Alligator mississippiensis: one gene and its partners. The protein of the gene in region 3 purifies or fractionates together with the protein of the main gene of each other region. This does not show direct contact. Links are inferred from orthologs where the notes say so. Each region holds a gene or a part of one and is shown on either strand. Other genes may lie near its edges.

The links.
Region 1: the proteins of SNIP1 (region 3) and NKTR purify together in Homo sapiens (affinity purification with mass spectrometry; 3 studies listed by BioGRID and IntAct, counting the BioPlex papers as one, with this or other methods). This does not show direct contact. The link is inferred for Alligator mississippiensis from reciprocal best matches to the Homo sapiens genes SNIP1 and NKTR.
Region 2: the proteins of SNIP1 (region 3) and ACIN1 purify together in Homo sapiens (affinity purification with mass spectrometry; 3 studies listed by BioGRID and IntAct, counting the BioPlex papers as one, with this or other methods). This does not show direct contact. The link is inferred for Alligator mississippiensis from reciprocal best matches to the Homo sapiens genes SNIP1 and ACIN1.

Annotation. Positions count from the first base shown.
Region 1 is NC_081828.1:213,340,983-213,350,402, reverse strand, and holds the start of NKTR (NK-tumor recognition protein), read right to left. Parts: upstream 5,962-9,420; 5' UTR 5,886-5,961; intron 5,439-5,885; 5' UTR 5,411-5,438; coding exon 5,353-5,410; intron 1-5,352. UniProt on the Homo sapiens protein: PPIase that catalyzes the cis-trans isomerization of proline imidic peptide bonds in oligopeptides and may therefore assist protein folding. Component of a putative tumor-recognition complex involved in the function of NK cells.
Region 2 is NC_081830.1:7,375,930-7,385,349, reverse strand, and holds the start of ACIN1 (apoptotic chromatin condensation inducer in the nucleus), read left to right. Parts: upstream 1-4,488; 5' UTR 4,489-4,611; coding exon 4,612-4,749; intron 4,750-6,270; exon of another isoform or gene 6,271-6,456; intron 6,457-6,690; coding exon 6,691-6,756; intron 6,757-6,870; coding exon 6,871-6,982; intron 6,983-9,386; coding exon 9,387-9,420. Other genes in the region: CEBPE (CCAAT/enhancer-binding protein epsilon), read left to right, coding at 1-204.
Region 3 is NC_081829.1:911,618-921,037, forward strand, and holds the start of SNIP1 (smad nuclear-interacting protein 1), read right to left. Parts: upstream 4,710-9,420; 5' UTR 4,584-4,709; coding exon 4,426-4,583; intron 3,378-4,425; coding exon 3,275-3,377; intron 1,921-3,274; coding exon 1,340-1,920; intron 674-1,339; coding exon 412-673; 3' UTR 1-411. Other genes in the region: DNALI1 (axonemal dynein light intermediate polypeptide 1), read left to right, coding at 5,015-5,095, 5,330-5,472, 5,869-6,038, 6,704-6,882, 7,449-7,613. UniProt on the Homo sapiens protein: Required for pre-mRNA splicing as component of the spliceosome. As a component of the minor spliceosome, involved in the splicing of U12-type introns in pre-mRNAs. Down-regulates NF-kappa-B signaling by competing with RELA for CREBBP/EP300 binding.

The DNA of each region.
Region 1 (9,420 bases), on a different chromosome or scaffold from region 3:
ATCCATTCAGATCAGTCCATACTGCTTAAACGTGTATAAATGCTGTGACACAGTTCAACGTGCATTTAGTTGTATGCTTTACTTTTACATTTCATTGTTAACCAAATTAGGAAAGACCTTTCTAAGTTACTACACATTTTATTATGATTGGTGTTGAGTTGCTTTTGATGGAAACTGGAATTTAAAACCCCCCACAGAACGTCAACTTTTTAAAGATGTGCTTATTAGTTAAACTGATTTTATGCATCCAGCACATTTGTTTGCTTTTTATCAAAACGTGTTTTGCAATTAAAACTGATTTATTAAACAAAGAAAGTATTGTCTGTAATTTGTAAATAGAGATGATGGTTTCTGACCATCACGTCCTTCAAGATTAGGATCTCTGTTTGTTCAGCGATCAAGCACATAGTATTCTGTTCATAGATCGGCAGTGGGGGGGAGGAGGGAGGGATTCCTGCTTTTCTGGATCCTAATCAATTTCTCAACTTTGAGTGAATTACTTAACTAAACTAAATTTGTAAGAAAGATTAAGTAGATGCACCCGCTATCAAAACGGTTTTACCGATTCAACCAACTCTGGTTCCAGGTGCTTAGTCAGTGACTTCCTCCAGTTAATTAATTTGATTTCCTTTAAAACTTTCAAGCAATGCATATTTGCTCCAGATACATTTTTGTTACATTTTTTACTAGATTAGATTACAGTAAGGGTTGGGACTTAATGTAGTGTTTCAGTTTTAAATTAGGTTTAATTTAAAGCAAAAAGGAATTTGAATATTAAAAAAAAAAAAATCTTTAGTTTTTTTTAATCTAATCTGTTCTGCATGTGCCTTTTACAAGACCAGCCTCCCACCTCAGTTCAAACCAGATCCAAGGAAAATTAGAGCAGTCTCTCTAATCACCAAGAGCCCTTTGCTGAGCGGTGAAGTGTGGGCCCATGATGAATGTTGTATATCATTCTCTTAACTTCTGCCTGAGATCTGCAATAGCAGCTTGCTACAAGCTTGAAGGGCACATACAAAATATTATTTAAACTAGTGCTAATGAGCAAAGAAAATGAGCCACAATATATTCCTGGAAGTCTGACACATTATGGGAGGCAGAGGGGGAAAGAAATCAACCAAATCACAAAGTTAAAATAAAATTTAAAAAAATACCACCTACTTTTCTTTTTCTAGGTTATTCTATTAAGTAAAGTCAGCGGTCTTCAGTGCTACCCACAAGCGTGACCAGATTCAGTAGTACTTTAAGATGACTAGGGTTATGAAAATTATTTTTTCTGCAAATGAGTAAGTTATGTGAAAATGTAAGAAAATACTACTCTGTCCTCTCCAAGCATCAATTTCTGTTTAAGTCTCCATTTGAGTTACTAACCTTAATTTGCTTTATATACTCTATTTCAAATCTCTGCAGGGTTTCACTCAGACTGCTGGTGAGCACAGCTCTCTACTCTGCAGTCTCAGACATCTCATCTATTAATTCTCATAGTCATTTGATCTGCCCCCTGAAAGACAAGTGAAGACCCCAGAGCATAATTCCCTTCCTATTACTTCCCAAATGCATCTGCAATGGTGAACACTTACTTCCACCAAGGCAGCATGTACGACTCTAGTGGCTAAATACTAAAGCATACACACCAGGTGTAATAAGGCTAGAAGAAAGAAAAAGGGACTGAACAAGAAGTGAAAACTGATTGACTGGGGATGCCCACATGGAAGGATGGATAAATGAGAAGAGAAAAAATGGAAACTGGAATGAGTATCAGAATGAACAAGCAAGACTAAGAATGACAAAAATAAGTTGAAATGAGGGGAAAAAGCAGGAATGGGACACAGCAAATGAGACAGTTAAATGACATATGCTTTCCAGAGGATGAAGAGACTGGATAAAGAGACTTTAGATATCTAGGGCATTAAAACACAACTGACCTCTGGGTTTTTAAATTACAGTATTATATTTAGTGCATGTATACCACCCTTCCAGATTTATCAGGGTAAACAAGTCCTGTAAACTAGTCTATCTTCATGTTTTGTACAATTTAGTATTTTTCCCCATTAGATTTACAAAAAAAGGTAAAAAAGAATACCAAGAACAAATAAGCTGTATTATTTTATTTTAGTAGCATAACTAGGAAGTAAAGTGCTCGTTCTTGGTATACTTTCAATTTATACTGCAATTGGTTTTGTGACACACCAAACATGATGACAAAGAAATACAAAACAAACTTCCTGGCAGTAATTAAAATTTCAAGTTGCAGTGAAAAACACTGGTTTCCAAAGCTTGCTGAAAGAAACAACAACAGGGCCGTCCAACTTGTAAGCAGCTAGGAGCTGCATGCCACGTGGACTATACCAGCATGAGCCACAGGTTCCCCAGCTCCCTCATAGCATGGATGCCCCTTCTTACACGTGCCCCCCAGCTGCACCATGCTGCACACATACTCCAGCACCGTACCCCTCATCTACCTAGACAGAAGCTCCCCAGCTGCACTGCAGAGGCATCCTGAGCCCCTGCGCTGCAAGCTGTTGCACCACCCCTGGGGCAGGCGCAGGAAGCAGAAGCCAAAGGAGGGGGAAAGAATCTGCAGACCCCAGCTGCAGTCAAAGCAATGAGGGGAACAATAGCTGGATGGGCCACGTCAATAGCTAACCTGTCATGGGCCACGTGCGACCCACAGGCAGCCAGCTGGACAGCCATGGAATACAATCTATAGCATAGTGCAAATACTAGCCATAAAAAGTTTAATTCAAGAACCTATTGGTAAAATAGAAATTATGATGATCAGTATTAAATTACCTGAATTAAGCTATAATGGCTAAAAGAGTTGTTGTTGTTATTATTATTATTATTAACAACTCCTGCCCCTTGTATTATTTGTACTATAGATCTAAATGTGTGGCAGGGGAGTCCACTCCAATCTGTCTGCCCCTTTACAAGAGATGCTATACTGGCTGGCCTGGGAGATGTTCTATCTACTTTAAACACTAAAATCACTTTTACACTGCTCCCATATGTTGAATTGCTGCAGATACCTGTGGTGGCAATGAATAACTTCTCTGTAAAGCCTGTTAAAAGGAAGGCTGTCTGTTTTGGTTGTTACGTGGAAGACATCTTGGAGCTACCAGGACCACAAAGCTATAGCAAACTACGCATGTTAAGATCCAGGAGACAGATGAAGCTTTGGATGCTACAGACGATATCCAGTTCCTCCATTTTCCGGGAGAAAGTCACTTTAAAAATCCATAAGTATAGGAGGAAGAAAACTGATGTTTGTTTACCCACTACTGCAACTTTGATAACTAAATGTATCAGTGCTTCCCTCCCCAACATCTTCCCTAAACCCAATGATGAAAAAGCACATTATCGTTATATTAATACTAAAAATTGGTATAATCACTAGTTATTTTGACACTTAAGCTTTTATCAGATTGCTGAATTAATATCTTACCAACACAGAAAGAATAGTACACATTGTTTATCAGTGTGTGCACACATTGCTGTAGTGCTTATATTTGACTCAGACTTTGCAGGTTATCTTTGCAACCAACAGGGCTCCAGAGTTAACTTTATTTATTTATTTCGAATGAAAGCTTGGATTCAAAGCACAATTTTATGGCAAACTCAGGAGGATAATTATACACCAAGGGAGAGAACCACATCTTTATAAGACCTGAACTTAATGTTTGCAAGTCAGCATGGTTTTCCCCCCAAAACTGTAAATCATTAATCAGTTTCAGTAACTATATGGCCAGGTTTCAACTTGCTGTGTAGTTGTGGGGTTCATTCAACTTTAGAGAAGCAATGAAGTCAGCACTGCACAGGACCAAAACTCTACCCCTGCTCTATACAGCCAAGCTCTGCATTAAGCGGAAAGGCTGGATATAAAAGTATTGCATCTCAGCACCACTAATATGAAGTGATATCAAAGCTGGATACGGTTTTGTGCGCTCTTAGAACGTTACCAACCGAAGCCAGCCAGGAATGGAAAGCGGCAGCTTGGTACTCTATTTCTTCCTGTGGATGCAAAACAAATGATTATAAGAAAGGGCAGGGAAGGTAGCAAGGGACATAAAAATGGAAGCAGAAATGTGGCTGAAGGAAGAGACACAAAGCAGGAAAAGAACAGAGAAACCAAAAACTAATGTGATCCAATAAACAACTCCAGAACTGGAGAAACAAAAAGAAGAGCAAAGAACGAAGAAGCAAAAACTTTAGGATGGCAACTGTATCACTTAGTTATGAACCCACTAGACAAAAAACTGGAGACACACTGGCACCCCAGTACCCCTAATTCCTAAATATGATGTTATAAACAAACGCTCCCCGTTCAATTTCAAGAGCAAATTTGAAGTTGCGGGAATAATGAAGTTCTGTTTAATGCACCGTCACCTGTTTTTGGAACAGTACAACAGTAAAGAGAACAGTGCTTTTTTCGGTGAGCGGTGCTGACTGTGCTTACTATAACAATCTCCTGCAGATACAGAGATTACTCCAGAAGATTTCAGGAAAAATTGGGAGCAACCCACATATCCTCAATTAGCCCCTGCATATAGAAGTAAAGGGGGGGGGGGGGGGCTTGGAGGAACAGATCCAAGCCATTATTTTGAAGTTAAAAGCTTTCAGGAAATCACAGAAAAGTCAAACTGAAAGCCTCAAGAATTTTTATTATTTCGGTAGGGGTGTACAGGAAAGCACTAATAGCTAAAATTGCGTGGTTTTCAATGCCTATAAGAGCTGTTATCATAAAGATTAAATACCACCATTTAGCAGACGGGGAAGAGATAGGATGAAGACTATACCCGCAAAACCCCCAGGCTAGGACGAAAACTTAGATCACCTACGAAGGGCAGGTTAACACTTGATCTGAGCCAGAAACAACGATGATGAAAACCAAGAGCTAGGGATGAAAGAAACCAATTAGGCCACCTAGTCCGTCCACGACCCGCATTAAGGAGAGCAGTAAATGCGCTTTAGGAGCTTATAAACTGCACGGCTGTAATTTTCTCCCCAGTTTTCTTCGTTTTTGGGCGGTTTGCAGGCGCCGGAACGAGACACAAGCCAAACCACGTTTAGGAAGCCACCCAGGACTGCTGCTCTTCAAGGCATATTAAATCACAGAATCGGGGAGAAGGGCTGGAAGGGCCCTCCAGGGACCACATCTAATCCAAGCCCAGGCTGGGGCAGGATTACCCCCCCGCTACTTCCAAACCGCCCCGCGCCGATCGACCTCTCTGCAAAACGACACGGCTTGCGCAGCTCGATCGGGTGCCAAAAGGCCAGTGCTTCCCCCTCTCGAAGGGCAAGCTGTCTGCCCGCAGGCAGGGCAGAGGGGCGGGAGGATGCCCCCGCTTTTACCTGGCTCCCGGTTGATTTCGATGTCGAAGAAGCACTGGGGCCGGTCCTGCACGCCCATGGCAGCCCCCGTCTCCCGGCCTCATGCCCTGGGCACAGGAGAGAGCAGGGAAAGGGTGAGCCAGGCGCCCTCCTCCCAGCCCCCCTGTTCCGCACACGGCTTATAGCACGGGGCTTCCAGCCACACACGCGTGTGCACGCCCTCCCACTCACACACACACACACACACACACACACACACACACGCGCCCCCCCCCCCCACTGACATACATGCACCCCCCCTTCCCCTCCTCCTACCCCGAGCAGGGGCAATGCAAGCTGGAGTGCCCCCACCCCCACCCCAGGAGCCGGGGGCGGGGCAAGCAGCCTGCTGTCCCCTGATTGGTGGGCGGGGCGCTGTGGAGGGCTCCCATTGGCCCACAGCCCCACGAGGGGGTGTGGCTGGGTCGGGCTCCCATTGCCCCCCCCCGTGGGGGGAGGGGATGAGGCCCATTCCCTGCGCGGGGAGGGGAGGGGGGGAGGCTCCTGGTCCTCACCTGGCGGCCGCGGCGCTTTGTTGCCCTTCCCCGCCCCCCCGCCCCCAGCCCGGAACGGAGCCGCCGCCGAGCGCCATGAAGGGCGGCCGCTCCCCCCGCGCTACCGGAACGGGCCCGCGCATGCGCACGGGGGGGAGAGTGCTGCCCGCTCCCTGCTCACCTCCCAGCGCCGCCAGGCCCGGGAGGGGGAGCGACTGTCCACGCTGTAATCCCGCGAGAACGCGCACTTCTCGCGCGGCTTCGCCCGCCCCGTTCTGTGGCATTGGAATGAGGGAGGGGGAGGGGCAGCGCGTCATCACGGGTCGTCCACACCCAGAGTGCACCGCGCTCCCACCGTGTGTGGACACGCTGTGTCGTGTCTCTCACATACACACACACACACACACACACACACACACACAGTGTGGACCACCACACACCCCGTGTCACACACACGCACAATGTGCACCCCATCCATGTCTTACACACGCAGTGTGCACTACCACAGCCCCGTGTCACACACACACACACTGCCCCACACTATTTCTATCACACACGCACTGTCCCCCCATGCTGTCTTCCACACAACTGCACGTATGTGCACATACCCACGCTGTCCCTCACACCATGTCTATCATACGCACACACACACACACACACACACACACACACTCCCCTATCCTATATTTCTCACACGCACTGTCCCGTGTCACACAAACACACCACACCCAAACCATCCATGCCATGCCTAGCACACGTAAGCACACTGTCCCCCATGTCTATCACGCACACACACACTGTCCCCATGTTCTGTCTACCACACACATATTTTCACACCCACACACTGTCCCCCATGCCATGTCTAACACACATACACACACATGCACACTGTCCCCCATGCTATATTTATCTCACACACACTGTCCCTGTGTCTATCACACACACACACACACACACACACACACACTCTCCCTCATGCTCTGTCTACCACACACATGTGCACACACATGCAAACACTCTCACACTGTCCCATGTCATTGTTGGAAGTCACTCATCGTGGTGTCCTGTGACCAGTGGGGTCCCCCAGGGCTCTGTCCTTGGACCCGTACTGTTCAACATCTTCATTAATGATGTGGACACTGGAGTCAGAAGCGGACTGGCCAAGTTCGCCGATGACACCAAACTTTGGGCAAAGCATCCACACAGAAGACAGGTGGATGATCCAGGCTGACCTGGACAGGCTCAGCAAGTGGGCGGACAAGAATCTGATGGTGTTCAACGCCGATAAATGCAAGGTTCTCCATCTTGGGAAGAAAAACCCGCAGCATCCTTATAGGCTCGGCAGTGCTATGCTGGCTAGCACTATGGAAGAAAGAGACTTGGGGGTCATCATTGACCACAAGATGAACATGAGCCTGCAATGCGATGCTGCGGCTAGTAAAGCGACCAAAACGCTGGCTTGCATCTATAGATGCTTCTCAAGCAAATCCCGGGACGTCATTCTCCCCCTGTACTCGGCCTTAGTGAGGCCGCAGCTGGAGTACTGCGTCCAGTTTTGGGCTCCACAATTCAAAAAGGATGTGGAGAAGCTTGAGAGAGTCCAGAGAAGAGCCACGCGCATGATCAGAGCTCAGGGAAGCAGACCCTACGACGACAGGCTGAGAGCCCTGGGGCTCTTTAGCCTGGAAAAGCGCAGGCTCAGGGGTGATCTGATGGCCACCTACAAGTTTATCAGGGGTGACCACCAGTATCTGGGGGATGGTTTGTTCACCAGAGCGCCCCAAGGGATGACGAGGACGAATGGTCACAAACTACTACAAGACCGTTTCAGGCTGGACATAAGGAAGAATTTCTTTACTGTCCGAGCCCCCAAGGTCTGGAACAGCCTGCCACCGGAGGTGGTTCAAGCGCCTTCATTGAACACCTTCAAGATGAAACTGGATGCTTATCTTGCTGGGATCCTATGACCCCAGCTGACGTCCTGCCCTTTGGGCGGGGGCCTGGACTCGCTGATCTTCCGAGGTCCCTTCCAGCCCTAATGTCTATGCAACCTATGAAATGTCTGTCACACACCCTCACACTGTCCCCCCACGCCATGTCTGTCACACACACGCAGTACCCCCATGTCTATCAGACACACACACACACACGCACACCCCCCATGCACCCCCGCAAGCACCCCTCCATTCGTTGCTGGCTTTTGCCGCCCTGCAGTGGTGCCAAGAAACGGAGACGGCAAATCCGGGGCCTGAGAGAAGTGGGATGATCCCTAGAGGAGAAACGGCAGCGCTGGGAACCAGACACGCGTGTGCAGCGTCATGAAACACACGCTTTCTCCTGCCCTAAAGGGAGGGCTTGGTGGAGCATTTCCCGCAGCAGACCAGGCTGCTGCGGTTGCCAGGTGGACAACACAACCCCGGTGAGAAATAAAGGTGCTCGATGCCCTTGTTCTTTTTTAGTAACTGCTCAGCAGGGAAGCATAAGTGATTTTACAAATCGTCGCCATCTGTGCACCGAAAACACAATGCTGTTCACAGCTCCAAAGCTGAACATAACACGGCGTGTTTGCTAAAACATGAGCAATGATACCATTTCTTAAAAAAAATAAGACGACACAGAAATGTAGCCCTTGTGGGAATGAGCGTGCCTGTATCTATGACTGTGTGTATGCGCATCTCTATAGGGAGGGTGAGACCTGCGTGGGTGCAATATACTATTTAGATGCTCTGCCCCAGTGTCAGATGAAAGCATCTACTGCTGCAATCAATTATAAGTGCTCCTTTGCAGCAGGGAAGCACGTTGACATTGGGGGTTTGCACTGGGCCCCAGTCTGGATGAGTCCTACGCGTGTAATGCCGTGCTGTTAACCAGCCCTACAAGCAGCATACATTTCCTTGGTCTGACTATTCCCTTACCATATGCCTGCACCAGCCTTTTGCAGTGCTTCAGAAACGAATAGACTAGAATGAGGAACCTAATAGATTTGAAGACCACAGTATACCATAGGTAATTTCTCTGTCCCTTTGATCTCAGCACATTCAGATCTCCTTCTAAATAACTAAATACAACATGTCCTTATTCTTTTTTTTCCCCATAGTTGAAATACTTCTGTGCCAATTCCTTCCCCCTTCCTGCAATATTTAATGTTCAGTTAGAACCTGAGTTGTTGGCTAAAGGCAAACAAACAAACAGACCATAAAAGGCTTGGAAATGTGCTACTCACTTTGCATGTGGGCGGCACCAGATTCTAAGCAATTAAAAGTTAATTTCAAGCCTCAATTATTTTAATAAAGAACTACATTAGAAGATTGGATGCTTTGAGAGCTGAGCTCTCATAATCATATCCAGGACTGAAGCTGATAAATATTGAGCTCAGTTGAGGAAAAGTTATTAAATAAAGAAAAAAAAAAAAAAACTGCATGCATTTTTAGGCCGGTGTTTACAGATGATGAAACAGGTACACGAGTAACACAGAAATATTCTTCTTCCTTCTTTGATAGAAGCTACTGCAGGTGCTTCTTTAGCTAAAATAGGATGCATCTACACTTGCAATTTA
Region 2 (9,420 bases), on a different chromosome or scaffold from region 3:
GAGCGCAACAACATTGCCGTGCGCAAGAGCCGCGACAAGGCCAAGCGCCGCGTGCTGGAGACACAGCGCCGCGTGCTGGAGCTGGCTGCTGAGAACGAGCAGCTCCAGGCACGTGTGGCCCAGCTGGGCCAGGAGCTCGACACGCTGCGTGCCCTCTTCCGTCAGCTGCCCGAGGCTGCCGGGCTGCCCAAAGGGCTGGCCTGATGCCGGCATGGGACACCAGCGTGCTGCTGTTGCCGCTGCGATGTCACTTCTCGGGCACTAGCGCATGGTGCTACAATCACTGCTGCGATGTCACCCCTTGTATGGCACCAACATGCCGTGATCGCTACTGCGATGTCACTCTTTCTTCACTCGTGCATGGCACCATCATGCCATGATTGCCATGGTGGCGTCACTGATTCCCTGCTCACTATTACATGGGACTGTCAAGCTGCGGCTACCATTGTGTTGTCATTCCCCGTGCGCCACTGTGTGGCACGGTAATGCTGAGGTGTCACGAGTTCCCTGCCTATGATGGAGTGGCATGACTGTGCTGCGATCACCACTGCATCACACATTTCCTGTTCGCTATTGCCTGGCACTGTCATGCTATAATCACTGGTGTGATGTCATTTCCTGTTCACTTTTGTATGGTACCATTGCTGTGACCTTCCCCATGATGTCACTACTGAGTGGCGCTGTCATGCTGCTGTCACTGTTGTGATTCTGCTGTCCCGGACTCCTTCACACTGGGATCACTGTTGTGATGTCATTACCCATGCACTGTTCACTTCCTGTGGCCTTTGAAAGCTCATGAAGATCTGCGCCAGTTAGTCTCCAAGATGCCATCCTGCCTCTGCTTCCTGCCTGTTCACCATTGCATGGCACAGTTATGCCACAATTGCCATCGTGGTGTCACCAACTCCCCGTTCACTATCACGTGGCAGTATGACGCTGATCACCACTGTGCAATGATCCCCTGTTCACTATTGCCATCGCTATTCTGGGCTCGTCATGGCCGCATCCATTCTTCACCGTTTACTACTGTTGCATTGCACCATTATCCCACGATGAAACCATTCTGCACAACAGTGACTTGGCGTGTGTTCTTGTGTGGCACTGTGATTCTCCCATTGCTGTTGGCGTGTCCCAGCTCTCATTGTTCACTAGTGGGTGGCCCCATTATCCAGTTGCCATCATGGGGTCACGCTTTTCTGCTGTGGTCACAATCATGGACTCTTCGCTGGTGGTGAGTGGTGATCTTGTTCTGTCATCGCCATTGACATGCCCTAGCTTTTGCTGTTCACTATTACGTGGCTATGTTATTCTCTGAGCACCACTGTTGTGTCATGCTTCTCTGCTATGGCATTGTTAATTGACCAGCATCCTGTCCCCATCGTTCACTATAGGTGGGGTGGCATTATTATTCTCTGATTGCTATTACCGTGTCCCAGCACTTGCTGTTCACTATCAAGTGGCCCCATTGTTCTCTCTCACTTATCTACTGTTCACTTGCGTGTGGCATGGTTAGTCTGTGACCATAATCATGCCCCAGCTATTTGCTTTTCTCTATTGTGGTGTGGTACTCTTATTCTGAACACCTCACTATTCACGACGGTTGTGTTGTATCATTATCCCATAATGAAAACTGTTGGTGCTGGTCCTCTCCTGCGCTCATGACTGTTGTGATGCATGCATCTGCAGCTTCCTCATGGTTTGTTCTGTGCTCACAATTGCCCTGCCCTATTCACTCTTGTTCACCATGGCTCCATGGCACGCTCGCTCTGCACTCATGCCTGTTGCATGCTGCTCACTTGTGCTTTCAGGACACGACTGCTTTCTGAGCATAGTGCCTCTGTCGTGTTCACTATTGTCTGCTCGCTATTGTTCCTCATGCAAGGATATCCCTGTTGCTTGCTGTTGTGATGGGGCATCACTGCAGAGTGGGTCCTGTATGCTCAGCCACGGCCCCCCAGACTTGGCGCTAGTGACCAACCCTGGCCCGGATGCCTGGGTCCTATTCTTTCCTTTGGAACAATTGTATCTCAGACAGCAGGGTTCCCTCCCTGGAGTGTGAGACCAGACCCAGACTCCTGGGTCCTGCAGAAGCTGGGTTGTGTGCTGTGAGAGAGCTGTCACAGATGCCTGGGTTCAGTGCACCCTACCCTCCCTCCCAAAACCAGGGGGTTGTGTAAGGCCGGATGGTTTCCCGTGGTCGGTGTCCCAACCTCCGGCCCGGTGCGGGGGAGGGTAGTGGGGGAAGGTGTGTGGGGGAAGGAGGGAGGCTGGGGCACCCCTAGCTGGGGAGCTCCATATTTGCCCCCCTCCCGCCTCTCTACCCCCAGGGCTCCAAGCTGCCCCCTCCCCCCCAGGGCATCCCCTCCCCCCAAACCACGCCCCCCCCTGGGGCAGGAAGCAGCTCAAGGTGAGTGGAGCTGATTACGGACTCTTGAGAAACAGGCCGTTACCCCGGGGCCATGGCGTAACCGGGGCCCCCCCAAGCGCTTGCGAAATCCCCCTCACCCCCAAGCCCTGGGCATGGGCACTACTGGGCCCCTGCCTCCCCATGGTCTGCTGGCCTGAGGACCACCCCGGCCCTATATCTAAATAGGCCCCACACCCAGCCCCCCACCCATGGCTGGTGTCCCCCAAGCTGGGCTCAATAGTGGGGGTCCCCACATCCTGAGACCTCACATGCAGGGGGGGAGGAAGGCTGACTGCCCCTCCCCCATGCAGTCTCTAGTGGGACAGGGACCCACCCCCAGCCAGAAGGGACAGCTGCTGGGGGAGGGGGAGCCCCTGGGGTTCATGGTGTCTCTGTCTTACCCTGCCCCCCCTCCAAGTCCTGGGTTTGGATAGAGCTAGGAGAGAACCCAGGAGCGCTAGCTCTGCTCCCATCCCCCACTCCAAGCCAGCAGGCCTCCCTCCTTTCCCAGACCTGGGAGAAAGAACCCAGGCGTCCCAGCACCCCCGACCCCCACCACGCACACAAACACAGACTGATTCCAGTCCACTCCCCTACCTGAAGCGAGAGCCCAGGTGCCCGGCATCTCCTCCCATTGCAGCCTTGAGAAAAGACCACACGGGGGTGCTGTGCACCCATTCATGGCCCTTTGTCATTCCTAATCAAGCCAATGTATTCCTGCTCCTCTTTCCCTCCTCTCTTTGGACTCTGGAGTCCCTAACTGGGGTCCTTCTTTCGCAGGGGATACCCAAAGTGGGGGTGAGGCCATGCACTCCACTCAGTGCTCAGTCACTTCCTGTAGGTCTTAGGTAAACAGGGGGCTCGGGTGGAATCAAGGAGATCCCAAGGAGGAGGGTGGAGATCCCTTAGGACCCGGCCCCACTGGCGCCTCATGGCTGGTGAATTAAGGTAAGCCCTACATAAATGAAGGGCAACTTCCTACAGGCCCTATGTACACAGGAGTGGTTCTGGGGAAGCCAGGACTCTGCTGAAGATCCAGCAGGGGTGTTACTGGGCTCTTGGTTGCCCTGATTGTCAGCTTGTCAGGTCTAGAGAAACAGGCCCCTTCCTACAGGTCCCATATCAGTAAAGTGACTTCCTGTAGAATCTATGTAAATGCAAGTGGCTTTGGACAACCCCAGGCTCTGAGACCCAGGGTGGGGACTCCTATTGATCCCCTAAGCTGCCAACCCACACTTGGCCCCAAACAGGCCAACTTCCTGCAGGCCCTATGTCAACAGACAGCACCCCTGCAAACACAACTGGCTTTGATGGAATGAGGACACCACTTGGGCCCCAAGGGCAGAGCAGGGGTTTCTTACTGGTCTATTGGTTCCCCAAGCTCCCAACTTCCTAAGGCGGGCGGCAACATGCCAACTTCCTGTAGGCGCTACTTCAACAGAAGAGGCTTTGATGAAAACGGGGGGCCCCATCTTGCGACGTGGGGGGTAATGTGTGTGTGTGTGGCACTGAGTGGGCTCTTCTGGCTGCCCAAGCACCCAGCTTCCTGTTGGCTGCATGTAAATGGGGAACTTCCTGTAGGCCCTACACAAACAAGGGGGCAACTTCCTGCTGGCCCCATGGAAAGAGGGGACCCGGGAACTTCCTGTAGGCCCTACATACACAAGGCAGCAACTTCTTGCTGGTCCCATGGAAACGGCCAACTTCCGGTCTGCTCTACTAAGTAGGGGGGGTCTCCCTCTTGGCTTCGGACAGGCCCGAGCTCGTCCGGAAATGCCCGAAGAAATCACACCAAGGGAACCAATGGGCGCGTTCCGGCAGGGCCCGAAGCTGCTCGAGCACTGACGGAAGTAGCCGAGCGCTTTTGGCCCTCACTTCCGGGTTGGCCCGAGCTCCTTCCGCCCCCCCTTTTCCCTTTTCCCTGAGTCGCCCCCGGAAACTGCCGAAGCTCACTTCCGGGTGTGCGGGGCCGAGCGGAGCACGGAAACCCCCGAGGAGCCGAGGCGCGGGCGGAAACATCCGACGCGGGCACTTCCGGGTGGGCGGAGACAGCCGAGGAACGCCGGAAAGGGCCGAGACCGGGTAGCGGTGAGCCGAGCGCGGCCCGAGGCGCGTCCGGAAGGTGCCGAGGCTAGTGCGGAAGGTGCCGAGCGGGTCCGGAAGCCGCCGGAGCGGGCGGAGGGAAGGCAGCGGCGCCACACAAGATGGCGGACGGGGAGGAGGTGACTCTGGACGGGAGGCCGCTCCACATGCTGCGTGTCGCAGACCTCAAGGCGGCTCTGGAGCAGCGCGGTCTGGCCAAGAGCGGCCAGAAGAGCGCGCTGGTCAAGCGGCTGCGCGGGGTGAGGCGGCGGCGGCGCGAGGCGGCACGGGGTGCAGCGCGCATGCGCCCGGGGAGCCCTCCCCCCCAACCGGCTGGAGTGGGGGGCCCGGGCGCGGCGGGCGGGGGCAAGTGCGCATGCGCGGCGGGGCGCGGGGCTCCCCCCGAGAATGAGGGGGTCCAGGGGTGGGAGGGCGTGGGGCCGAGTGCGCATGCGCGGGGCTCGCAGGGCTGGGGGGATAGGCCGGGCCCTGTGGGGCCTAGGGGCCGTGGGGTACTAAAAGTGTTGCTGGGGACTGGTGGGTTTATAGAGTTGGGGGCTGTAGCCTGTAGAATGCATGGGGGGCTGGAAAAGGCTGCAGGGGTCTAGGGGTGTTGCAGTGGCGGGGGGCTGGCGGGGCTGCAGGTGTCTATCGGGCTGGGCATTTCTTGCAGAGTTGCAGGGCTGGGTGGCCTGAATGGTCCCGGGGGTGGGGGCTGCAGCCGGGGAGGTCTGTAGGACTGGAGAGGGTTGTGGAGGCTGCAGGAGTTTGTACAGAGTTGGGGGTTTGCGCCTGGCTGGTCTGGGGAAGTCTGTGAGGGGCTGGGACTTTGGGGGTCTGTGTGGGCAGGGGTGCTGAAGGTGCCCATGGGAGTTGCCTGCAGACTTGGGGGACTGGGTGGACATCATAGAAGGCAGTCTGGATGTCCTCTATTGAAGAGAAAAATAGAGGATATAAAGGCGCATAGGGTTTTGTATCAATAGAGGACAGAGTAGCAGGAAACTGGAATGTCCTTTACGATGGCCACCCTAGGCCTAAAGGGTCTAGGGGGGGTCCATGGGGAGGAGGCTGAAGGTGTCAGGGGGGCCTGGAGGGGGTACATAAGTTCAGGGGCTGGGCCTGGAGGGTCTAAGGAGGCTTGGAGGGGCTATGTGGGGCTAGGGGTCCTGTAAGGGGTATTGGTTTGGGGACCTGGCTCCCCCAGTTGGTATGGCCAGACCCCCATGGAGGGCTGGAAGGTGCCAGGCCAGGGCCCACAGGCGCGTGGTTGGTAGAACACAGGGCTGCAATGTCCAAGGGCTTCAGCTGGGCAACAGGAAGAGCTGGAGTTGAGCGTGGGGGGCAGCAGGCTCTGGCATCCAGCTGACGGGGTTCTGGGTGGCAGGGGCTTGGGCATTGGCTGGGGCTGGGCAGGAGCAGGGGGTCAGATGAGGGCAGGGGGGAGGAAGATGTTAGGGCTGCTTGGTGGTGGAGGTAGGCCCAGTGGGGGAGTTATCTGGGGCACAGTGGATCTGTGGTCATGCACCTGGTTGTGGGTGGACTAGGCTGGATGGGGGAATGGGTCATTGCTTCTGTGGGGAGGAATGGATGGGGAAGGGTGAGTGAACCTGGGGTATGGGTTGGATTGGTGGGAGGGTTGGGGTTGTCTTGAGGCTGGATTGGATTGGGGAAGGAGGGGTTTGGGGTTGCCTTGGGGCACTTTGTTGGATCGGGGGGTTGGGGTGGGTTGGATGAGGGGGGTCGGGATGGCTGCAAGCTGTGGGTTGGATTGAGTCATGAAGGGCGAGTCAGGGCAGATATGGTCAGCTGGATTGAGACATGGGGGAAAGGTGTAGAGATGGATTTACATGCTTCGTGTTCTGTGGCCTGAGGGTCAGCGTGGGTGGTGACGTGTGTCGGGGCAAGTATTGGATACGGATGGGTTTGGGGGCAGGTCAGAGCCTGGAGTATTGGGGCCGGGATCCTGGGTGAGTCGGATCATGGGTTGGGGTAGATACTGGGGGTGTGTTGGATTGTGGAGGTTTGGGTGGACACGGCTGCATTGCATTGGGTGCTAGACTTGGGGGTGGATCAGCTCAGGTCATGCAGGGCAGCCTGGATGGCATATGTGAGCAATCCAATGATGGGCACCGGGGGAGGGGGAGAAGGCACAGGGACCATCTTGGGGGCACATCTCTGACCCTGCCCTTTCCCTGCCCCAGGCACTGATGCTCGAGAACCTCCAGAAGCATTCAACACCACACACCACCTTCCAGCCCAACTCGCAGGTGAGAGGCCCCCTCACCCCCAGCCTCTCGAACCGCCAGGGACCCCAGCCGAGGGGGGGAAACTCAGGTGTCCGGCCTTGCTCACGCGTCCTGTCCCATCCCATCCCCCTGCAGATTGGTGAGGAGATGAGCCAGAACAGTTTCATCAAGCAATACCTGGAGAAGCAGCAGGAGCTGCTACAGCAGCGGCTGGAACGAGAGGCAAGGGAGGCAGCTGAGCTGGAGGGTGAGTGTGGGGCTGGGGCAGAGCCTAGCTGTGGGGTGGAGGAATGGGTACTTCCAATTGGCTGGGGCTCACATGTCTGCTCAGCCAGTGGGCATTGGGCTTCTTCGGGGCCTGACTGCAGGAGAAATAGGTTCTTATGATTGACTCAAAAGAGCCCCTCCCCCATTGTTTCCATTCCTCCCTTCCCAAACAAACAGAGATTTTCTTTTGGCTGGAATCTCTCCAAGCCCTAACCAGCGGGAATATTCGTTTCTTTATAGTTAGTGCCAGAGGGCAGCAGGGAAAGCAGGGCCCTGTGATTGATTGGGCACCAAACCTATTCATTGGGTATCTGGTTTTATCATTGGACCCTTCCCAGCCTTGTTTTTCTAGTCACTGATGTGGATGTTGCCACCTAGACTAGGAGGAAGGGGCTGGCATGGCTTTAGGTCAAGTAGCAGCCCAGTCATGGGTCCTGGAAGGACGTTTAGAGGGGAGGGATCCAGAAAGAGGAAGGGTTGGCTTGTCTAGGGGAGGATGAACAGTCTAAAAACCATGCTGTGGGATTTGCTCTGAGGAGCTTTGCATGACTTGGAACTCAGCAGCAGAGTCTGGAGCCTTGGGACACATGGAAACCTGTCTGGCAGTTGAGGTCCTGGGTTGAGATACCTAGAACATGTGGTGCTCTTTAGCTCTGAAGCAGGACCTGTGCTGTAGTTCTAGAGCTGGGGGGGGGGCTCAACCTTTGGGCTCTGTGGGCCAGATTGGGCCTTAGGGCCTGGCACAGCCCCTCCGTGCTCCCCATGCACTAGGATTGGGTCTCAGGGGACTAGCACCGCCCCCCTGCGTCCTGGATTGTGTTCCAGGGACTGGTACTGCTCTATCCTGTCCCCCAAATACCAGCATTGGGTCCTGGGGTCCAGGTACCACCCCACTTTTCCTTCCCCCGTGTACTGGTATTGAGTCCTGGGGAACTCGGCATTCTCTTGCCCCCCATCACCCAGTTGTGGCACCCAGCAGTGCTCCCTTCTACCCCCCCATTCACTGGGATTGGGTCCCCAGGGAGCTGGTATCAGCCCTCTCCCACCCTGATTTTGAGTCCCCGGGGCCCAGTGCTGTCCCTCTTTGGTTTTTGCCTGCCAGCGCTGGGGCCCTAGGACCTGGTGCTGCCCTTGTCCAGCTCTGCACACCACCACTCCCCCAATGCCAAATTTCTAGGCCCTGCAAGCCAGATGACATGGCATTGTGGGCTGGAAGTTGAGCATCCCTGTTCTAGACCATCATGTGTTCTTTGCTGATCTTGAATGGCAGGGTTCAACCTGTCCAACTCCCTGGGCCAGATTAGTGGTTCGAGGAGCCACAACATGCGACCTGCTGGGTTCCCTGTGGGTCCAGAAATTGTGTGGTGGTGTGGGCATTACTTAACCCCAGCCTGGCTTCCCTGCTGACACGTGAGCACTGCTGAGCTAGAACATGGGCAGCTTCATGCAGGGGTCAGTTTAGATCCAGACTTCTAGCTCTGTCAGCTGGTTTTGCAGCGGCCTTCCCCACTCCCACGATCCTTTGCACTAACATCAGCAAAGCAGACATTTCCTTTGGCTAGATGATTTAGGGGCCATGTGGGGGCCACTAGCGCAGAAAAAGGGGCTGTCTGTCCTAGAATGTAGGTTCTATACCATGTAGCCATGGAGAGGAGTTGTTCTGCAGTAAGCTATGTCCTTCTAGAGGCTGCACATTGCACCTTCTCTCTTGGTTCAGAATGAAATATGGGGTCTGCAGAGGTGCAGATACTCCAAATTGAAGCGGGGAGGAACAGGGAAGTTGGATCCTGATTCTTGTACCTTTTTATGCTCTGAGTGCTGGGTCTAGAACCCAGGGCTCCCCATTGCAGAGTCTAGGACCCTGGGTGAGCCCTGTTCTGGGGGGGGTCTAGAACTCAGAGGATGTCTCCTGTGTGCCCTACAGCCCAAGGGGGCTGTTGTGGGGGGTATCTGGAACCCAGGGGGTATTGTAGGGTGAGGTCTGCAGGCCAGGGTGTGCTTGTTGCACAGGGTCTAGAATCCAGAGGGACTGTTGGGAGATCTAGAACCTAGAGGCACTTGTTCTGGGGTGTCTAGGTCTTGGGGGTGCCTGGTTTGGGGAGGCTAGAAACCAAGGGTGCCTGTTGCTGGAGAGTCTAGAACTCAGGTGTCTGTTGCTGGGGGATGTCTCCTAGAACCCAAGGTGCCTGTTGCTGAGGGAAGGGGGGGTCCTGGGATGGGGTCTAGAAGGCAGGGGGTGCCTGTTGTGCGGAGGGTTAGAGGATGCCCATTTGGGGGTTAGAACTTAGAGGGCCTGTTGTAGGGCCTAGAACCTTTGGGATGTTGTGTGGCTTAGAACCCGGGTAGTCCCATCTTTACAGCTCCCTTGTGTTTCACTCCTGCAGGTAAAGCCTGTTCCATTTCCCACGAGAGGGAAGA
Region 3 (9,420 bases):
ACCCAGGATTCCAGTCAAGTGGTGATTTCAAATGGGTTGCTGACAAACAAATTTGTAAGAATAGCCAAAAAAAATTGCTATTTTGTTCTGCGGTTTATCATTGTAGGACCTTATTTTACAATCTGTTAAATAACTTCAACTCCAAGGCTTTCACTTGCAGGTGCCCGCCTTCTTCGTTAGAGATAATCAGCTTAAAACAAAGGCGGATTTCCGGATAAGCTTAACAAGGTTCTTAATGACAGAATACAAGTCGGTCAGGAGTTCCCCAAAACAAACTAAAACAAGAACTGATGAGCAACAAAGGAAAGACTTTAAGGCAATAAGCAGCATCAGTGCTATGATGCTCCAACATTCGTTACCAGTTTCAAGTTCTACTGCAAAAAAAGACTTTTGGAATCTCTTCCAGATCCGTTAACTGTTGTCAGACTTCTCCTCTTCCTCCACTTCCTCCTCCTTCGCGTCTGCCTCGGATTTATCTGAAGATTCGTGGAGAAGAACGTATTCCCTGCTGCTGAACCCAAACTTCAGCACGTCCTTCTCCTTCAGTTCGTAGTAACGCTGAGGTTCAATCCGTTGGTTATTTAAGAAAGTACCATTGCCGGAGCCAAGATCTATGATATAAGGCCTTACTCTGCGGCCAACTGTACCATCAGCCCGCGTATACTCCACAAGCCTGGCAAAAACAAAAAAGACACCTCTTTACCTACAATCCTGAAATGCATCCTGCCCTCTTCATGCACTCATTTGGCCAACTGTTGCTAAAAAGCTCCCTGACCCCAGTGCTACTCCTTGCCTGGGCGGGGGGCTCCAGGCCAATCTTGGAAGTGCCATCTGGAAGCATGCTTTGCCCACTTGCACCAACCCTCAAAATGCAGCATCGTCACCATCTTAGAAGAGCTCTGAGTGCCAACCAATGAGCGTGCCCCAGACCAGTACTGGGGCACAGGCTGTGGGCTCCTCTAACATGGCAACATTGGATCACTTCCAAGATGTGGCTAATCCAGAGGCAGCACGAGTAGGTGAGGCATGTTTCTTGTATCATGATTTCCCCAAACACAGCACGGAAGCAGTGTAGACACGCTCCAGCTACTGCACCAGCTCACCTGCACGCCCGATTTACAACCTGCCTTACTTAAAGGTTGCTTATGGTTAGATGCGAGGAAAGACATGACTGCTGCTTAAAATGGCACACACTATTTGGTACTAGCATTCAGCTATTGCTGATATAGGAGGCATCATTTACAGCTTTGCTTGGATGAAAAGGATCTTGAACACAACTGCTTTCACTTTTAGCCCCCAGCATAAACCTTCCCCCCAGACGGGTGCAGTGAATACATACCGATACTGAAACACAGCATGCTGCTTGGAGCAAGATGGATGGTCGATGGGGATATCGGCAATTCTTCGGTGCCGGCCCAGGAGGTAAGCGCTCTGCCTGTGAATGTACATGACTGGGAGCACCTCGTCATTCTTAAAGGGGTAGAGACGCCATCGTTTCTTTGGAATCCGAGCTTCTGGGGGCTCGCTGTATTTAATCACGACGCCGCGGAAAGTGTTTGAATCCTCTAGAAGTGCGCCAGACAGTTCAAAGCTTGGTTTCTCTTTGTTTGCTGGCTCTTTGTCTTTAGTTTTACTGTCTGATCTGCCAAGTTCAGGGTTGCCAAGTTCAGGGTTGCTCGCTTCGTTCTTTTGTCGATTTTCACGTCTTCTCTCATCGTTAAATTCCCTCTCTGCTTGCTGCTCACGGAGGTTCTGGGAATCCCTCTCTCTCTCGTGACCTCGACCTCCAGGCCTTTCACTGGAATTTTTCCTTCTGTCCGAATGGTCTCTGTGTCTGTCTCGCTCTCGTCTGTGTTCCTGTTCGGGCTGGTCTCTGTGCTTTCGTTCGTCGTGTCCTCTGCGGGAATGATCATCTCGCTCCTGGAACAAAAAGACATTAGAGTGACCTATTCAGAATTAAGGGAGAAAGAAAAGGCAGGGAATGTTGTTTAGTCTTTAGAAAAACAAATCACAATTTAATATGAGAAAACATACAGACTCAACACACGCTGTATACAGACTTTTGCTGAATTAAGTTTTGATAACATGACTGACTGAATGATCACTGAATAAATAATTGTGAACTCAAGTTTCAGAAATGAAACACAGGCAGAATTGGTTTTAAATGATTTTACTCTAAAATCAGAAGTTCCTTAATTCTTAGCTGTTCTGTCTTAGTGTAACTCAAAAATGATTCAGGTGCCATCATGTTAGGTGCTGCGTACGCAGAGGGCAAAAAGTATCGTTGGCCAGCACAGTTTGAAGTCTCACAATAAAGTACTAGATAACAAACAGCTCTGTCACTTCCACACATGGTAAAACACTAATTCAGCCAAATTTAACAAGTGTTACTCTACTGCTGATATGTACTAACACAACACTTAGAAACACTCTCAAATTTCCTTATTCCTTTTCCTTTCCACACTACAGACACTTGCAGAAATGACGACTCCTTCGGAGATCTTCTGGCTCATCGTCTTACTCCCCACCCAAAACTCAGTAGCACAAATTTTCCTACTATCCTAATACACCAACAACTTTGAGAGAATCTGTTCGTGAATCACCTCATTTCCCAATGCACCAAATCTTGGGTCCCACACAAATGCCACTGTTCTGCAATTCCAGTTTTAAATGATTAGTGATTTAATCAACAGGACAGGAGAGGGAAGGATCTCCTTTAGAAGAGCAAGCACATGCCTGTTTGGAAGCATCCTACTACTTTCTATTGCTGCCGAGAGGCCCCAATTCAACACGCTACACGCTGCGCTGTGCTGTACACCCCTCCCCCAGTGTCAACACTATTCTGGGGAACTGGACCAGCTTAAAGGGCGAGGCTGCATGAGTGACAGAGGCCAGATTAACAGGTAATCCCTGCAAGCGCTCAAACATTCGAGGCAGAGTTTGTGATGGAGCTGGCTGTACTTTTGCCCATTGCTGCAAGATAACTACACTCTAAACTTACGAACGATCAAACTATCACCTGACCCCCAGGTGTCTTTCCTGCCTGGTGCAGGGGACTGGACCCGATGGTCTGCCGAGGTCCCTCCGACTTTACAATCTATGAAAAAAACCGTGGTTATCAAGTAAGAAACTAGTCGCCCCACCTTCTTCAGATCCTGCTGCTACAAATTAACCCGCACACCTGCTCTGTATGGCTGCACAGGACCCCTGGGGTTTCAACAGGTTATAGCCAAAGTAACAAGCAGGATCAGGACCTCCCCGTTAAATATATTACCTGCTTTACTTTGACCACAACATGATGAGGGCTTCTGCTTCTTCGATTGCGAGGAGACTTGCTTCTTCGACTGGAGGATTTATTTTTTCTTTTGCCCGGTGATCTTAACAAAGCAGAACAAAACACGACACAACTGAGCTGTCTGGCCCACGTCACGCAGAGACAAAGTACGTTTGTGCAGCGGTTAAGCAGCGATTGAAGCTTGACCTAGTAAAATGGACGTTAACAAGCTGGAGGCTTCAGAGCAGAGGAGAGAGGCAGGTGGACGAGGCAAGCGCAGGACCACGAAGCTGCCGAGGCGGCCGCGAAAAAGGCGACCGTAAACGTCTCTCTCAAACGAGGCACTTTCAGTCGAAACGGAGATTTCACGCGACCACAAAGCCTCACCTGCCAGGCGGGGTCAAGCACTCCCGAAAAGCGCATCCGCACCGGGGCGCGGATGGGGACGGACTCGGGCAAACCCTGGGGGCTGGAAAGCTGCGGCACGTGTCGCCTGGCACGGCCACGGCCACGGCCACGAGGGGACGCGACGACGGCCTGCAATCCGCCGCGAGTGTCAACCTCAGAGGGAGGAAAAGCTGCCAACGCCAAGGAGCGACCTGGGCACCAGAGCGAACGGAGCGGGTACAGCTCGCCTGGGAGCCGGGACAGGGTTTGTAGCCGCCGGGAGATGCCGGCCCCCTCCCAGCGCTCCACTGACACCCCTCCCCGCCGACACCCCTCTCCACAATTAAACATTTTAAAGCACGACCGAGACCAGCGGCTCCTCGTCCGCGGCGCGGAGACCCCCGCCAGCCGTCACCGCCGACAGGTTTATTGTAACGCCTTGACGTGAGAGAGGCGCGCGGGGGGTGCTCGAGATGGGATCGTTTTAAACCGGTCGGAGTCGGGGAGACGTGGATCGGCACGGTGCCGCGCTGCTGATCGCTACGCGACGGGCGGACAGACGGCCGGCCGGCCGAGGAAGGAGGGCAGGGCTGTGTCCGGTCGGGAAAACACGGACGAGGCGACAGGAAGTGAAACACGTCCCGCGGCCCCGGTGTCCCGTCCCCCCAACCCCCCCGGCGTGGACCTGCTCTCGCGAAACACGCGGGAAACGCCTTTGCGGCCTCCGTAGCCACAGCTGCCTCTCCGGGGGGGGGGAGGGGTACCTGCTGGCCCTGTCGCGGCTGCGGGCGGCCTGGTGCGGGCCGCGCCCCTCGTCGGCCGGCGGGGACTGGCTGCCGCGGGCCGAGCGGGCGCGCCGGGGGCTCCGCGGCTCCTCCCGCCGCCGCTTCTTGCGGCCCCGCTCCAGCTCCGCCGCCTCCATGGCTGCGGCCGGGCCGGGCCTAGGCACCGCGCCGCATCCGGATGCTGCCTTCACACTTCCGCTTCCGGAGGTGAACGGCAGCAATGGCCCACTTCCGCTTCCAGGGATCCCCGCCGACCCGGAAGTGCTCCCGCTTGACCTACCCCTGCACGGCGCTTCCGGGGAGCCAGGCCCCGCCCCGCGGCCCTGCCTCAGGGCCCGCCCTCGCGCCGCCGGGGAGGGCAGAGGAGGGGAGGGCGCGTTCCCCCCCCCCCCCCCCGAGAACAGCGCCAGGTGTAGCACGTGCGGACAGGGCCGCATTGCGCATGCGCCCTCTCCTCCCTCTCAGCGTGCTGACGTCACGGCGCCGAGGCGTTGCGACGCGTCCCGGCTGGCGGGTGGGCGGGTTGCCATGGTGACCGTACACAGCGCCGGGGCCTGGGGCCGCCGCCATGATCCCCCCGCCCGACTCGCTCGTGCGCTACGAGACCCCCGCGCTCGTCACCCGCAACGCCGACAAGCGCTCCCCCAAGGTGGGCGTGCATGGGGGTGGGGGGAGCACAGGGGAGGGCTGGGGGGCAGAGGGAGGTCGGCGGGTCCAGGGGGTGAGTATGGGGGGGCAGGGGGGTGAGCACGAGGGGGAGGGGCGGTCTGGGTGTGCAGGGATTGAGCGTGGGGGGGGGGGGGTTGGGGGAGGTCGGGGGGGCCAGGCCCAGCCGGGGGCACGGTCGCAGCTCACGTCCCGTCCCGTGCGGCGGGGTCGGCAGGCGCGGGCGCTGAAGACGCTGTCGCAGCCGGCGGCGGTGCCAGGCCCGGTGCCGCCCCCGCCCAAGGCGCGGTCTCCGTGCGCGGCGGCGGAGCAGGCGAAGCAGCAGACGGAGGAGGTGCTGAACGCGATCCTGCCCCCGCGGTGAGGACGGCCCCGGGGGGAGGGGCGGGGGGGTCGCCGCCCCGCGCCCCGGCGCGTGACCCGGCTCGCGGCCAGTCGTTCCTGCGGCCCGGCCCGCGTCGGCCGCACGAAGCGTTTCTCGCCCGATCGCTCCTGTGATCTTTGCATCCGCGGCCCTTCTCCGGCCACTGCCCCGGGCAGCACACATCCCCGGGCGGACGCCACGGCCGTCTGAACAACCCCGAGGCGCTCGTGAAACGAGCACTTCCCATTTGCTCGGAGATCTGCTTGGTTAAATCCCCTGCAGAGGCAGGTCCCGAGCGGTCGCTGGTCGCGGCCAGCGCTCTTACAGCGACGGGGCTGTAAAGGCGGCGATGAATGTCTAATAATGAAATCCGTGCTGGTTTTGTGGTGCAGAGAATGGGTGGAAGACAATCAGCTCTGGATCCAGCAAGTGTCGTGTACACCCAGCACACGGATGGACGTGCTGCATCTGCAGGAAGAGCTGGACCTCAAGCTGCAGCAAAGACAGGCTCGAGAAACCGGGATCTGCCCCGTCCGCAGGGAGCTGTACTCGCAGTGCTTCGGTCAGTGAGCTCTCCCGATCCCTAGCAGCACGAGCCAAAGGCACATGGGACTGAGAGCAAAACACTGGAAGTGGCCGAGTAGACGAGCTCGGGGGAATGGCAAATGGAGATCTCCCAGTAATACTGTGGGCTGTGGTCCAGCCTCGGCCAGTTGGGAACAGAGGTTATTACCATCTACTGCGTGTAGGGGCACCTGTGGGTCTCGGGTCGGTCCCAGGCGCGCAGGTGTACTGCTAGAACAAGCAAGCTCTACAAGGACGTTACTGTGGCAGCAGGGCATCGGCAGGGTTTGTTTCAGATTCGCTTGGTAGCGAAAGACTTATTCAGACCCATCGCTCTGATGCTGCAGTAACTCACAGATGAATCCAGGCAGTTTGCTAAACGTTTCAGTGACACCGTGCTAGTCCTCTGCCTGCCACAGCCCAGCACGGGACACTGTGGGAAGGCACCAGCCATAGGGGTAGGGAGAGTGCCGATTGTTACCGATGATCTGTTCATTTTTTACCAGTAAGAAGCTTCAGGCCTAATCGCTGACCTCAGAAGCCTCCGTGTCGTTATAGTTCTTGTGGGAACTTTGGCAGGGGGCTGCTTCAGGCCCTTGTTTTTCCTGATGCCCACATCCGTTTCCCCCTCTCATCTTCACTTCCGCCCTTTTTTGCTTAAAGACGAACTTATCCGTGAAGTTACCATTAACTGCATAGAGCGGGGAATGTTGCTGCATCGGGTCCGAGATGAAATCCGAATGACCATTGCTGCCTACCAGACCCTGTACGAGAGCAGCGTTGCCTTTGGCATGAGAAAGGCGTTACAGGCTGAGCAAGGCAAAGCAGATATGGAGAAAAAGGTAATTGGGGCTGCTCGCTCCCGCGTGCTCCTTTCTGCACGGGGAGAAATGAGCTAACCTTTGTACCCGGTCTTTCAGGCTCGGTAGATCACATTCTGCCGTAGGTGTTAGAGCAGTCTGACAGGTGTTTTAAAACGGGCTCCCAAGGGAGGTGGTGCTCTCCCCTACCCTGGGGGTCTTCAAGAGGAGGTTAGACGAGTATCTAGCTGGGGTCATCTAGACCCAGCACTCTTTCCTGCCTATGCAGGGGGTCGGACTCGATGATCTGTTGAGGTCCCTTCTGACCCTAACATCTATGAATCTATGAATCCCCATTTCTTACATTTGAGTCACTTTCCCATTTCACAGATAAACGTGTTATTTCAATTTTCCACTCAATTCAGTTTTTTCTGGTTCCACTGGATGGCAGTAAAGCTCATCCAAACAAACCTTTTTCTCCCCCCCCCCGGCCTATTTATAATATAATATTTATATTGCCGCATAGAGTGTTAAACACACAGCTGTGTCTTAATTGTACTCCCAAAGTGTAACAATGAATGCAAGCAAGATCTGTGTTCATTTCAAAGATTGCAGAGTTGGAAGAGGAGAAGAGAGAGCTGGAAAGACAAGTGAATGAGCAAAAAGCTAAATGTGAAGCTGTTGAAAAACGTGAAATTGAAAGGCGGCAGGTAGAGGAGAAGAAGCATGGTGAGGAGGTCCAGTTCTTGAAACGAACCAATCAGCAGCTGAAGGTCAGTAAAGAGACCCCCACTCCCACCTGCAAGTGGTGGTGGGAAGATAGGGAGACACGGAAATATTGTTTGCGTCTTTGTTTCACTTTCTTATAAATAAAAAAAGCCCAAGTTCCAATTTAACTGACACTAACATTGTGCTTTCGCTGAACCCTCAAACCTCCCCGCGCTTCTGTAGGAGGAAGACGATCGCAATAGTAGCTCGAGTGAGCCCAGCCTTCTGGTGATCAGTTGGCTGAGTGGGGAACACATTAGGCCCAGCTGGGGCTGAGATGCAGAGACAGTTTAGGCTTACAGATCTTTAGGTGATCTTAGAGTTTGCACTTGAACACTGATAGTTCCTCAAGGACCAAGTTCCTGCATGCACCTGACTTGAGAGTTACCTTAGGTGGCTGTGAGCAGAAAATACCAAGTTGCTGAGAATGCACTGCTCCCTCAAAGCCGTTTAAAAACAGAACAGGATGTCCCACGAAGTCAAACCAGGACCACAGGGTGACTTTCTTTGCTATTGGTCTGACACCTTGACAGTTCTCTTTGCACCAAGAGACACGGTAAAGAGAACAGTTGCCAGAAGGATGAAACCCCTGTCTTTTGGCACAATAGAGCCTTTTCTTCCATCCTTATCCAAGACCTCACCCAAGTAACAGCAGGCAGCGGGAACTGGGTGCTAGGCATCACTGGCAAGAGAGGCCTTGCTGTATGTTTGCGGGTCAGGAGGATTCTTGTTGCAAAGAACCTTAGAAAAGACGCTGTAATAGGGAACAAATCGTAAAGTGACATTCCTTTAGTCCTTTGGTTTCCAGATAAGGAAGGGTAGCAGGAGCAAACCCTTCTGCCTGGTGCACACTAGAACCGTGCTGAGCTTTCAGATAGGTGCTTGTGCCGCACATCTCAATTCAGCTTGTGCTTCCTTCCACTAGCAGCCCAGGAAGGAGAGCAGCTCAGGTCTGAACGTATCCCACGAGTGAGTCACCACATACTTGTCTTTCCAACCCTGTCTTTCAACAGCAACAGAACCAAAATCCACGTGGGAAGCATCACTGCATTGTCTTGGGGCTTCCAGGCACTATGGATCATAAGCAGCACGGAGGCTGGAGCGGTGCAGGCTCATCACCTGGGTTCCTAGGGTAGCAAGTGTTTGCTTGGCTTGGTTCAGAACGTACTTCTTGTGTTGTCATCAGTAGCATCCTTCCTCTTCTCCAGTTAGCTGCTGGTGCACGCAGTCAGAGCAGGGCTGTAATGAAGACATTCTTCCTTTGGCTGTTGTGGATCATGGAAATCCCGTTCTTAGACAGAACAACTGTGTAACACAGCGCTCCTGTTTTGGCAATCAGGATGAAAGCAGGGCGTGTGTTAACTACTCCCAGGATAATGCACTTATTTGCATTTGAAAAATTAACTCATGCTTGTGGCAAAATGGTTTATTTAAAACAATGCAAACTCTTCCTGGACAGATCTAGATCTGTTTACTCAGCTCTCTGAGCTGCTTATCTTTGGCATTCCTTTGCCTTCTCCCGCCTACACCCTTAACTTGCTCAGACAATATCAGTTAACTTCAGACCATCCGGCACTGTCTGTGGATCCAAAGCACAGCAGGCATTTGGCCAAGGATATCTTGCCGCTAAATCCACGCAGCTCCCTTGAACTAGACTTACTTGGAAAGCTGTACGTGGACCACTTACTGGCGTTCATATCCTGCATGGCTCAGGGATGAGGGTAGTCTATGGGTCCTGTGCAGTTTTCAGCACACGTTCCCTATGCATTGGTAGCAAGTTCCTTCATCTAGTATAGTAACTTATCTCCATGG